2 linked regions of the Tribolium castaneum genome follow. The protein of the gene in region 1 purifies or fractionates together with the protein of each later gene. This does not show direct contact. Links are inferred from orthologs where the notes say so. Each region holds a gene or a part of one and is shown on either strand. Other genes may lie near its edges.

The links. Proteins that work in one complex are often made in the same cells at the same time.
Region 2: the proteins of Taf5 (region 1) and Tbp purify together in Drosophila melanogaster (affinity purification with western blotting; 4 studies listed by BioGRID). This does not show direct contact. The link is inferred for Tribolium castaneum from reciprocal best matches to the Drosophila melanogaster genes Taf5 and Tbp.

The regions. Positions count from the first base shown.
Region 1 is NC_087398.1:2,406,161-2,412,854, reverse strand, and holds Taf5 (cannonball), read right to left. Parts: upstream 4,250-6,694; 5' UTR 4,186-4,249; coding exon 4,129-4,185; intron 4,086-4,128; coding exon 3,500-4,085; intron 3,454-3,499; coding exon 3,126-3,453; intron 3,075-3,125; coding exon 2,918-3,074; intron 2,465-2,917; coding exon 2,144-2,464; intron 2,090-2,143; coding exon 1,580-2,089; 3' UTR 1,527-1,579; downstream 1-1,526. Other genes in the region: heterochromatin protein 1, read left to right, coding at 4,716-4,973, 5,047-5,586; JhI-21 (large neutral amino acids transporter small subunit 2), read right to left, coding at 5,845-5,987, 6,030-6,291, 6,338-6,662. UniProt on the Drosophila melanogaster protein: TFIID is a multimeric protein complex that plays a central role in mediating promoter responses to various activators and repressors. May play a role in helping to anchor Taf4 within the TFIID complex.
Region 2 is NC_087402.1:9,985,555-9,991,697, reverse strand, and holds Tbp (uncharacterized protein Tbp), read right to left. Parts: upstream 3,565-6,143; 5' UTR 3,473-3,564; coding exon 3,427-3,472; intron 3,383-3,426; coding exon 3,156-3,382; intron 3,107-3,155; coding exon 2,964-3,106; intron 2,918-2,963; coding exon 2,398-2,917; 3' UTR 1,904-2,397; intron 1,857-1,903; 3' UTR 1,351-1,856; downstream 1-1,350. Other genes in the region: uncharacterized protein LOC107397721, read right to left, coding at 5-154, 201-258; Bka (rRNA-processing protein FCF1 homolog), read left to right, coding at 3,975-3,977, 4,027-4,635; Tbcc (tubulin-specific chaperone C), read right to left, coding at 4,661-5,632; uncharacterized protein LOC657646, read right to left, coding at 6,008-6,138. UniProt on the Drosophila melanogaster protein: General transcription factor that functions at the core of the DNA-binding multiprotein factor TFIID.

The DNA.
Region 1 (6,694 bases):
TTATGATAAATGCCGGCTATTTTTAACCACCACTTCAATAACAAATGGGGGTACCCATATATGTAACACCCACACCCAAGTTTAACGTCTTAAGACCTGGAATTTTTTCCTTAATCCTGTCATAACTATTTTAAAAATTGATTAGTAACATAAATAATTTCATGTTTATTGGATGGTTTCCAGAATCGATGTATTCAATGCTCTCAATTCATTTCGTATTTTCCGAAAACACTTATTTTTAACACAGGTATGCAGTATGTTAACTTAGCCGGACATGTTTATGATTTTATTTGTGCAAATTATGCAAAGCCCCACCGGCCAAAGCTTCAAGTGCACCATATTTCACACAAATTGTGAAATTTTATTTTTTTTTCCAGTTTAATAACTAGTTTAGGAAGCAACTTTTAATTGCGATGTTATAATTAAGAGCGTAAAAATATCTTACTTAGTGTTGCAGCAGCGATCGGGAATCAAATATCACTCAGATGCTTCTAACGTTGTCGCTTAAGATGCTCTGCTTTCCAGGACCTGGCTGAACGCTGCACAGCTTTCAGCTAATGACGTATTATAGGGGGTGGGGTTTACTCCATCATCCCAACCGTAAACAGTTTCCAGATATTTTCAAGTGTTGTTTTTGGGTTTGCTTATGCTCGAGTCATTTTTAGCACACGTAATGCGAATTTTTGAGGTACCTTTTTCAAATAGTTCATTCGAAAAATAGGTACGTAAACAAGTTCACTGCCACACCACTGGCATTGTTCGCTCGATGATATTTTTACAAAATATGTGTTTACTTTGATTTCGCTTGTTAGGCTTGAGGTAGGTTAGCTGGATTTTTTGGGCATTTCGGGCCCTGCCGTAGTTCCACATACGGTGTCTTATTAATTTTAATTATAACGAAAAGGGAGAAATATTCGGAAAAAATTACATGTATAGAAAAAAAGTAATTAATACTTTTGAAATAGTATATTTGTAAATAATACTTTTAGCAGACTCACCCTGTACATTGGCTTAATGAATAATTTCATATCCTTTGCCTAATTTTTAGGTAACGTTATTCACAAATAAATTAATTTCAAACGCAACAAAACAAGCTACAAACATGTACATTAATTCAAATAAAAGTTAAAACAAGCACCTTAACATTTATTTTGTTTTTTAACAACCAGTCAAAGCGTAAAAATTTGTAACGATATTAATTTTCTATCACAACAAATTTGTTTCGAAAATAAATCCTTGTTTATATTATTCTTGATTGGACGCCAAAAATACGTCTGTTCAACCAAAGTAATTACTTCGACGTACAAGACCATTACTTTTTTCTTTTCAAGTATTGAATAACCGACTTTATCGGTGTGAATATTAATTATAAAAATGTTTGATTCGTCATAGAGAAATTATGAATGTTTTTGGCAAAAGTCCTGGCAAACATTTTTAATGTTGTTGACACTGTTTATTTTCAACTCGGAATTCTATTTTAACATTTTAGTGTTATTTCAAGCGATTCATAAACCAAACCCCAAAAAAATCGTTAAAAAATTTATTTCTTATCAAGGTAAATAATACACATTACAATAAACTAAGTGCTAACACCATCAAACATGCTAACAGCCAATAGCAAATTCCTCCTCGTAAAGTGAAGGCTGATCAATGGCGAGCTCTTCGTCGCAAAACTCCTCAATAAATAATCATCCCCGATCCTCACATCGGGATTATGCGACACATTTACTTCCTCCGAGCTGATTTCCTCAGTCAGTTTGGTAAAATCCCAAACTTTGAGCAAACAGTCCAACCCTCCTGAAACTAGAATATTCCCGCATCTGCTGAAAGCAAGTGCATGGATGGGCTTCTCATGCCCGGTGAGTTCTGCAACCAAGTGTCCATGGGACAAGTCCCAAACCAACACTTTACAATCCACCCCCGCGGAAGCCAAAAACCGCCCACAAACACTGAACGCCAAAGACATTATGGGCGATTTATGCCCAGTCATAAGTCGGACATGATTTCCCGTCGTACAATCCCACAAACAGACGCGGCGGTCGCTGGAACCGGTCGCAACGTAATTGGAATTTGGGTGAAACTGGACGCACTACAATTAATAATTTCTGTAAAAAAATATTAAAAAAAAATTGATAATTTTTACATCGACGTCGGAGAAATGACCGGCAAATAATCGCAACGGTTGGTAATGGTCGGTGGCCCAAAGTCGCGCAGTGCGGTCGTACGACGCCGAAGCGAAGTAATAGCCCAAGGGAGAGAATTTGACGTCCCAAACGGGGAACATGTGTCCTTTGTAGACCACCAGACAAGTCCATATTTGCAACGACCATAATCTTATTGTTGTGTCTTCCGAACAACTGATAAGGAGAGTCTTGTCTGGGGAAAATGATACCGAGTAAACAGGCCCTGAATGGCCGTAAAGCGATCTGGAAGTCTCACCGGACCTTTCATCCATCATTCTCACCTGCATGTTGAAAACATGTAAGTTTTTGGAACCTGGCCAAGATGACAGATAAGTTGCTATCTTGGCAGATTTCTTTAAGTACACTGTTTAAATGAATAAAAATGATACACCTTCCAGTCATTTATTTTGCGATTTTAAACATGTTGACGGTTTCCACACGGCAACGACCTATTTTTATCGCTATTTATTCAAGTAGTCGATTAATTTAAGTCGGTGTCTACTTTATCGACTTGATGGGGGCGAAAACTAAAATCTCAACTTAACTTTGAATATATTTAATGTTGTATTAAAAAAATGAGTGATTACTTTTGTAGTAATAATAAAAGTCTTTTCTGAACAAAAAATTGTAATCGAAATTACTGATTTAGTTTTACTTATCGTTTAATTTTGATTGATTATATATTTTTTCATGTACTTTATCGATTTCATTATTAAAAAAAAATGTAACATTACCACGACATCCTCTACGTCAACATTGACATCCTCCAGCTGCTCCCCACTTTTCATAGCCTTCAGTTTTTGAGGCACAAGTGTCCAGACTTTAACAATTGAATCGCTGAAACCCACCGCCAGCATACTCGAATCTTCGGTGATTTCAGCACAATTAACCCTAAAAAACCCCCGATAAAGAAAATATTTTCACTGAATAAACTCAACTAACGTGTGATTGGCGTTAAGTAAGGTGTAACAACAAACTGAAGGGAGGTAATCCGGGCCTAACGTAACTCTCTTTGAGGCCTCTCTGTACGCCTTCACTTTTTCGTACTTATCGTGGTCTCTCATGTCCGGGACTGGAATTCTATCAGGCGGTGGAGCGTTTGGGTCATTTTTTGTTTTTTTCGAGAAAAGTGGGTCTTTTTTGGCTTTTTTCTTCTTAGGTTTGTCCGGATTGTCCTGTTCGCCGCCTTCGTCCTCGTCTTCGACTGGCGCTGCTAGTGCCTGAATGTCGGGGGCTTTGGGGATGCCGTAATAGACTTTGGTTTTATTATCTGGAATTTTGATGTGTTTATTGTAATTATGATAACGAAAATGAACCTTGTCGTTTTGCCTCTCCCCCAACGGCACCTGACGTGGCATCAATCTGGCTTTTGTTCCTCGCTACGCCTTCGTACATATCAAAGTAGAGATGTTCCTGGATGATGTTCAGCAAAACTGACGCTTTTTTGTCGTTTAAGTGACGTTTTAAAAGTGACAAAGTGTCACGCGACATTCGAATAATAAACTGGTTTGATTTGAAGGTGTCTGTCAATTCGTTCCCGTTCATATGGTCCCGTTTTGTGACCAAAGCCAACTTCCTGAGATCCTCCTGATAGTACGAGTCTTGTTCGGGGCCAAATTTTTTCATTAAGTTTATCGCTTTCTCCGTATGTCCATTATAAACCAATTCGAGGTACATGTGGACCAAAACTGGGTATAAAATCATGCCTAATTCGTGTTTGTAAATGTCAAGGGAGCCCTCAACAAAACGCTTTAACTCCATGTAAGAGTCCTCATAGGTTTCTGGATCTCCGTCACTCTTGTACCCCGTCAGAACGCTACTAACGTCTGAATTTTGTTGCAAAGGGCCATCAGCTATGTTATTACCGAGATTGGCCTCCTTTCGTAGCAGCTCCTCAGTGCCCTAATGAAAAATGTTACGTTGTGCTTACTCGCCATAAGCTCACCTTTAAATTGTATTTTTTCAAAATTTGCAGAACGGCTGCAAGTTGAGATTTTTCCATTTCTTCGGCGCTCATTTATAAACTCGTAAAATAATAAATACAACACAAACTGACGTTTCCCTAACCACACTTTAATGCAAATGACAACAATCAATAACGCAAAATTTCCCTAAAGCCTGCCATTCAACGTCGATTTATAAAAAATCTAGGCTTATTTCGCAACAATCCGATTTTCTCTTCATTCAGAGAGCGCAGTATGAGAGTTGTAACTCCTGGCTATATTTTTTAAAACTCTGAGAGTCGTTTTTGGACAATTTTTAATTGGTTGAATTGTGTTGGCACCATTTTTTTCTTAACCGCCACCCGCCATATTTCCAGCGCCATTAAAAGGATCTTTTCGGCGGTGTTTTGTGGTGGCTTTTTAAGAGCCAGAGTTGAAAGTAAGTAAATAACGGCTCCAATCGCATTATTATCCACTACCTTAACTAGTCAGCATTTTAGTAACGAAGTTGAATGCAAGCAATACTTATTGTTCCAGAAGTACGCAGTCAGCATCGCTTTACCGGTTATTCGCAAACAAAACTGCAGAAATGGGCAAAAAGAAGGTAGAAGACAGCGAGAGCGAGGAGGAATATTCAGTTGAGAAAATTATCGACCGGCGGGTCGTAAACGGAAAGGTCGAATATTTTCTCAAGTGGAAAGGTTATAGCGAAGACGATAATACTTGGGAACCCGAAGACAATCTCGATTGTCCCGATCTCATAGCGGAATTTGAAAAGTCGCGCAAAGCCAAGGCGAAGAGGTCTTCCACCACGAAAAGTGCGGACGAGGATAGTGACAAAAAAAAGGTGGGTTTATTGGATAAGCCAAGCAAAAACCAGCCCACTTCGACCCGAAATCTATTTAATTGTGTATCCCTAGAAAGAGAAAAAATCCAAGGACGGTGAAGAGAAGTCTGAAAAGAAATCAAAAGGCAGGCCCAAGAAGCATGCGGTTGAAACGGAGGACTCCGACGGCGAGCCCAAGTCGAAGAAAGCTCGCCGTCGTTCAGATTCCACGGACGAGAAAGAGAATTCAAAAAAAGACGCAGATTCCGACGACGAAAATGGTAAAAACAAGTCTGACTCATCTGACGACGAGGATAAGTCCAAGAAAAAGAAGAAATCAGAAGGCGATGACGACGAAAAATCCAAGAAAAAGCGAAAGTCTGAGTCGAAATCTGAAAAGGGGAAGGATAGTTCATCCAAGAGTAAATCAAAAGTCGGCTTTGAACGGGGCTACCAAGCCGAGAAAATCATAGGAGCATCAGACACCACAGGACAGCTGATGTTTCTGATGAAGTGGAAGGGAACCGACGAGACCGATTTAGTCCCAGCTAAGGAAGCAAACGTCAAGTGTCCACAAATTGTTATTCAGTTTTATGAGGAACGTCTCGCTTGGCATACTCCCGATGAGTCTTAAGTTGTTTCGTCATGAAAATCCTTTATTTTGGTAGGATTCCAGTTAATTTTTTCCGTAATAGTTTTCTATCGCCTGCAGTGTTTTATATTAAGATATTGTTCATTTTTCATGTTTCTTTTTTTGTAATAAACCGTGAAAATATTCACACCATTGGTTATTGAAAGAAACAGTCATGTTATACTGCCATACAGGTATTTTTGCAAATACGACACTGTAAAAAATTATAATTTTTATAAATAAACCTACAATTGAAATAAATTAAGAATGGGACAGTGTTTGTTCCGCTTGTGGTGAAGTCACGTTCATAATACTCTGGAGTATTTCCGTCAATTTTCGCGAAGTTTGGTTGAATTTTTCCGGTTTATTTTGCCACTTGACGCATAAATAATACACAGGGATGCCTAAAAATGTGTTATTTTTGTCAAAATTCCGTAATTAAGTACCTGACAGCGTGATGGCCACTCCAATGACTGTGTTCCACGGCTGCGAGGGTATGGGGAATATCACAAGAAACGCGCAACAGAACAAAAATATTATTGGGATACTCATGTTCACTCTAATCGGCCTTGGCATATCGGGTTGCTTGTATCTCAGCCATAACATTCCCGCAATGCTTGCCGCCACAGAAAACCATAATATTTGTCCGTAGTAATTTATCAGAACGAAGACATCACTGACTAGAAGCATTGCTAAAGAGGTTACACACTAAAAATAGGGCATTAAAAATTGCTAAACTTTGGGGGATCATTACTGTGAATATCAGTGAGGGTATGGGGGTCATGCGTTTAACGTGAATGAAGGAGAATAAGTCGGGGAGATGTCCTTCTTGAGATCCTGTGAGGAACAGCCGCGAAGAGGTGAACAGAATTCCGTTAACTCCGCCAAAAGTGGACAAAGCGACGAAGATTGGAACTAGCCAGTGGAAAGAACCGAACATTTTGAGGCCGAAGGAGACCGCAACAGCCGGCGAACTTTCAATTTCCATTCCTGATAACACGGCGAAATAGGCGACGTTCGCAAGGACGTACACGCCGGTCACCATGGGAAGGGCGATCCATATGGCACGAGGGAGGTTCCTGAAAATGTGTAAGTCAGGGGCAATAAAATC
Region 2 (6,143 bases), on another chromosome or scaffold:
TTACTCCCCGAATTTTGACCAGCTTGGATAAGATTCTCTAAGGGCCTGTCTGGATTTGCATTCGCAATAAACGATTGAAACGCATGCCACAATAGTTGGGGCCCATCTGGCGGTAGGACAACCGGTAATATTTCCTGCGGTTGATTGGAAGAGTCTACAAAAAGTTATTTAATTAACAATCAAATAGAGCATTTTTTTACCGTTGTTAGCGAAAGTTAGGGCGCAAATAGCGCAAAGCACCACCACAGTGAGCTTCATTCTTAATACGAGAGTATAGAAAGAGTCTGACACTTATAAAGCGAATTTTTGTAATTCCATGTGTGCAAGGTATTTAAGTTATTTTTGCGTGGCTTTGTTAGATTACAGACAAAACGTTTCTCGTGAATTTTTGCAAAGATTGAGACATTTTTCGCATTTTATGTTATGGAATTTGCGCGCCGTTTCAGTACAAGCAATCCAAAAGCAAAAATCCCTAGATTAAAACTTGCATTCAATTTATTGTTATTTTAAACCGCAAAAAGGAGTTTGGTCAGGATTTTAGCAACATAGTATACACCGAACATTTTTTATTTGAAGTAATGTTGTTCAAATAGTACAATTTTTTCGTGTTTGAGTTGTTTATGTTGTTGGCGTCATAAAACCAAAAATCCCCAGATTTAAAATACTGGTTTTAACTTTTATTATGACTGACTTGTCATTACAAAAATATTAATTGATATTAGTTTTAATCAAAAAAATGGAGCTTGTAGAATTTGAGGCGATAATAAAAGCCATTAGTCAATCTTGCAGTGAACAACTCGATCGCTTTACCGAATCTTTGCACCCACTCGATGAGTTAACACCTCATGTGGAAGAAGGTACGTGCAATCTTTTTAAATCTATTTTTGTACTCTGTTATGTCTTTTTAGAAGGGTATTTGTTTAATATATGTGCAAACGTTAAATCTTTGATTGATTGTAAAGTAGAAAGGGCCTTTGAAATCGTGGATAACAATGCTCAACTTTTGGAAAAAGAAAAGTCTGAAATCGTAAGTATAAAAAATAATTTTACTTGTACGATAACTTTGTAAAAAAAATAGAATAAACTGGAAGAGGAACTTTCAAATTTAACTACCGAATTTGGTGCAAAGAAAAATAAACTCCGGGAAACAACAAAACGGTGCGAAACTTATAATCATAAGCTGCAAAATCTTAAGAGCCTAAAGTATGAAATTTAAATGACTCTTACGTTGGTCTCTAATGAATTTATTTCAGGCTCTCCTTATATTTGTATAAGTTATTAACTGCAACACAATTTGATTATACAAGACCTAACACAGGCTGTATCCTTTCTAAAAAAAAAACCAAGCCGTTCATTTTAACAACTTTATTCCTTATAAACTAACAGATATGGTACGGACGAACCCTCCAAACTATGAAGTCTTCAATTATGGTGAAATAGGCGAGGAACAAGTAGTACGAAAATTATGGGCATTAATGGAAAAAATGGCACATAAAAACGAATAAAAACTTAAATTTATTGCTTTTTCTTTATGGTAACCGTTTTAAATATTGTATATGAATGGAAAACACTCGCGCTTGTTGCAATTGTAAAACCAACAACGAATAAGGCTACAATTACCATAGCTAGTAGCATTCCTTGGATAAATATGTTGTAAGTTATGTAAAAAATTCCCTGTGACGCCAAAATTCCCGTGTAAGTGAGCAATAGCGCAACGGGCATTAGGGTGGCTGCTGTGACCACGGGGAGCAGGATAACGGCCAAAATCACCACCAAAGACATGGACAAAATCGGTCTTTGCACTGACCATTTTAGGAACATACTTCTAACATTCTTCACCAAATTTCGCACTTTATCTGATAAAATTACGATTAGTAACGCAATTATTGGCGTGTGGCCTCACCTGGTAAAATGGGCATTGTTGTTATTTTACGCCGAACTGTAGAGATTAAAATAATTACTTGAACATGTTGGAATTTGACATCGCTTTTTATCAGTTCCAGTATTTACAAGGCGTGGAATTTGTACCGTCTTCTGATATTCTTCCACTTTTTTAGAGTTTATTGTTCTTCATTTAAGACAAAAACGAGCGAGTTTTTTCTTTTTGGCAAAAAATTTGAGGTTATGTGGCAAAAATTTGAATTTTCGTAAACCATAATCAACTTTAATTAATTATTTACTTATCAGTTTTGAACTTAAGTACTGAGCGGAATTTTCCATTCCCTTTCGATTGATTGTATTCTAGTGCAGCATAATGTATTAATAATGTAAAAAAACTAATTTTGAGGTTAGATTGGACTTGTCAAAAGGAAAAATAAAAGCAATTTTTGATTCTCGTCTATTAACAATATAAAAGGCCCACTTACAGTCAACAATTAAACGTAGCACATGAAGCAATTATTGCTTTTTGAAGCTTTTCAGGATTGGATAAATATTATCAAAGGCTTCGTAAATCTCCTGCCTGATTTTGGCGCCAGTCAAGACAACTTTACCCGAGACAAAAATAAGTAGTACAATTCTGGGCTTAACCATTCTGTAAATTAAACCGGGGAATAACTCGGGTTCATACGAACTGAAGGAACTGTGCGTGAGGACAAGTCCTTCCAATCTGATCGGAAATTTAACGTCGCAACTTCCCACCATATTTTGAATCTTGAAGTCTAAAAATTTCGCGGGGAAGCCCAGCTTTTGGATAATTCTCGCATATTTCCTCGCTGCTAGTCTGGAGTCGTCCTCGCTTTTAGCCCCCGTGCAGACCATTTTTCCCGAAGAGAAAATAAGAGCAGTAGTTCGGGGCTCCCTGATTCTCATTATAACTGCAGCGAAACGTTTGGGGTTGTACTCAGCGTTACGTGCGTGAAGGGCGATTTTTTTCAAGTCTAACTTGCAGCTGAGGTTAACTGTGGAGACAATATTTCTGCAAAAAATATTCAAACTAATTTTACTAAAGTTTGGACTGTTACTGTAATTGGGGGACAATGTTGGGGTCGGCCGAATGCGGGGTCATCGGTGTCAGGGGCGACGGCGTCGCGGGGCCCATCGACGGGGTGTTCGCTGCACCACTTGAGCCCCCCAAATTCACCATAGGGGACATCATAGTGTGTTGCTAAAATTTTAATTAAACGTTCCAATTATTCAATAATTTAGTTACGTACTGGTGTTTGTGACTGGATACTCGTGATGGGGAGGGCGAAGCCCGCATATTTCGTATGGGGCATGGACATGCCCATGCCCAACCCCAGAGTTGGTGTTAGGGCTCCCATTGGGGCCAAAGGCGGGACTTGTTGGGACTGTGATGTTGTGGAAGGTTGCTGCTGCTGTTGTTGCTGCAGAGCATTGGGCAAAATCATCTGATCTTCCTCGGGCTGGTGCAAGGGGGTTCCTAAAGCCTCACTAAGGAAGTGTGAAGGAAAAATCGAGACTTACCTATGCTAGGAATGCTGAAACCGGGGCTTGGCAACATTTGATCCATTTTGGTACTTGTTGTCTTTACACTTTTTTAATTAACGAACTAATTAACTGAACAATAAAATCATAGTCAACATTTAGCATAAACGGTTATAATTTTTAAAAACTTGAACTCAGACCATACAAACACAAAATAACATTCCTTGATTGTTCTCTTTCAGAGTTTTCGTCACGAAAATACTGTTTTTCACTGGAAAAACGGATTTGGAAGCAAATTAATAAATTATTCTCCTAGCATAATTTTTGGGGACAAATCAACCAGAATGTTGGCAACGCCCGCCTTAACCTCACTCAAATTCGCATCATAAATTTAAAAATAACACTCACGGCTCACGCTCACAATGTCGCCTTTTAAAAATTTCGAGTCAGTGGAACAGTTTTTTCACACAAACAATTATTTTGGATTTAATTTATTCACCTCTCCCTGATTGTTTATTTAGTGTTGTAATGTTGGCAACGCATATTTAACCTGACTTTTTCTACATGTGTTTATTTTAAAATAAAAGATGGTAAAAAGTTCGCTTTGGTGTTTGCACAGCGTATAGAAATGTTTTTTAGGGTAAGGCGAAGAAGACGCGAAAAATCGCCCAGAAGCGGTTTGCAAAAATGAAAACAATGATCAGTCCCAGCGACCCTCGCATAAAAGCCAGCCAGAGGGCCCCTCCTCGCAAGAAAAAACCCGAAGATCCACACGAAATGAAAGTGCGTGAGGTGCCCCAAGTTAGTTCGGCGCTCTTTTTCCAATACAACACCCAACTGGGGCCTCCATATCACATTTTGGTTGATACGAACTTTATTAATTTTTCGATCAAGAACAAGTTGGATATTATTCAGAATATGATGGACTGCTTGTATGCTAAGTGTATTCCGTATATTACGGATTGTGTTTTGGGCGAATTAGAGAAATTAGGTCAGAAGTATAAAGTGGCGTTGAGGATAATAAAGGATCCGAGGTTTGAGAGGATTAAGTGCATGCATAAAGGGACGTACGCTGATGATTGCCTAGTCCAGAGGGTCACCCAACACAAGTGTTACATTGTTGCGACGAATGATAAGGATTTGAAACGCAGAATTCGGAAAATTCCGGGTGTTCCCATCATGTATGTTGCACAACATAGGTATACAATTGAACGCATGCCTGATGCTTACGGGGCTCCAAAAACATAATAAACTACGAATTTTTATTACTACGTTATGAATTATCCCAATTTTTTACAAGTTTCCCTTCATCTAACAACGACCAATTTGGAGATTGTCTTTCAACATTCAACCAGTTGAAATCATCAACACATTTCCAATTATTTGTGTTTCGATCCAACCCTGAATTTTTAAAATCAGACTCGAGATTATCATAGTCCCAGTTATACGGTGCTAGAAATATATCGTGACAATCTTCCATAATTGCTCTACTTGTTACATGCAAATAAATATCGACATCACTCGAAGAATGCAATCTTAACTGTTGACACGCTATCACAAGAGTGCAATTTGTGCAGTTTTCTGCAAAAATTGAGGTTGAAACGGGGCCTGTGAAAACGCGGCAATTTTTCAACTGGTTGAGGTGGAGAGTGGACGGCGAACCGAACAATTTAACGGTACAGTTTTCCAACTTTTCTACTGTTATGTCTTTCTTGAAAATCTCATTTTTCATAGTTAGAGTTTCTCCAGTTTTGTTCGCAAAACCGCATTCTTTTGCCACAATCGCGACTTTATGGAAATCCACTTCATCCTTTTCTTTTTTTGTTTCCACAGGTTTCACGTTTTGTTTGTTTTTAAACCCGAACTTTTTCTTGGGCAAAAGATTCTCCTCCAGTTGTTTTAATTTATTGGTAAGTTCTTGTAAAGATTCGTGACATTTTTTGATGTCGTAAGAACGTAAAAATATGTTAGAATTAGCGACGTATTTTTGCAAGAGTAGGATTTCTTTCGAAATTGTGTCAAAGTGCTGGGGAAGCGCTGCTTTGTCCAAATCACTTGATTGGGTGAGGAAATTTTCGATTTGTTGACGCTTGTTACTGAACGTTTCGTTGAAATATGCCAGTTTTTCGGTATCGGCAGATTGGCTCTCTTTAGTTTCTTTTTGTTTTTGTAAACCTAATTTTCGGTCATAGTCTCTCTGTGCTATTAAACTGATTTTATCCACACTACCCTCCATCACTTGCATGTTTTTTGACTCTATTTTCGAATTTCTTTATCAATGCTTTCTTTATTTAGGCGGTACAAAGGCTGGGATGAGTTGGAAGCTGACTGTAATACGTTGACAAATTGTTGTTTTCTGTTGAGTGAATCAGGGGACTTGTCGATTCCTGGCAATTTCTGGAAAGAATAAATAATAGAAAATAAACCCAAGTACAGCCGATTTTTTCTTATAACCAACTGCCAAAGAGCCGTCAGATTGACATCATTGTGACAGTTGATTATAAAAAATAACGTACTTTTTTCAGATTTTCTTCATTTGGAGTCACTGTTACGAGCAAGCCGTACCCTAAACCTGTACCAGCGACGAGCCACAAAATCGACTTAATTAACCTCTCGGCCATCAATGTTTTTCACTCTCCCAATAGGCGTAGTCAATTTGCCGAATTTTGTTGTTAGAATCGATTGTTTCACCGATCTTGTAATAATATTCCAAGATCTCGGGATAATTATCGTGGAGATATTTGCGATATTCTGTT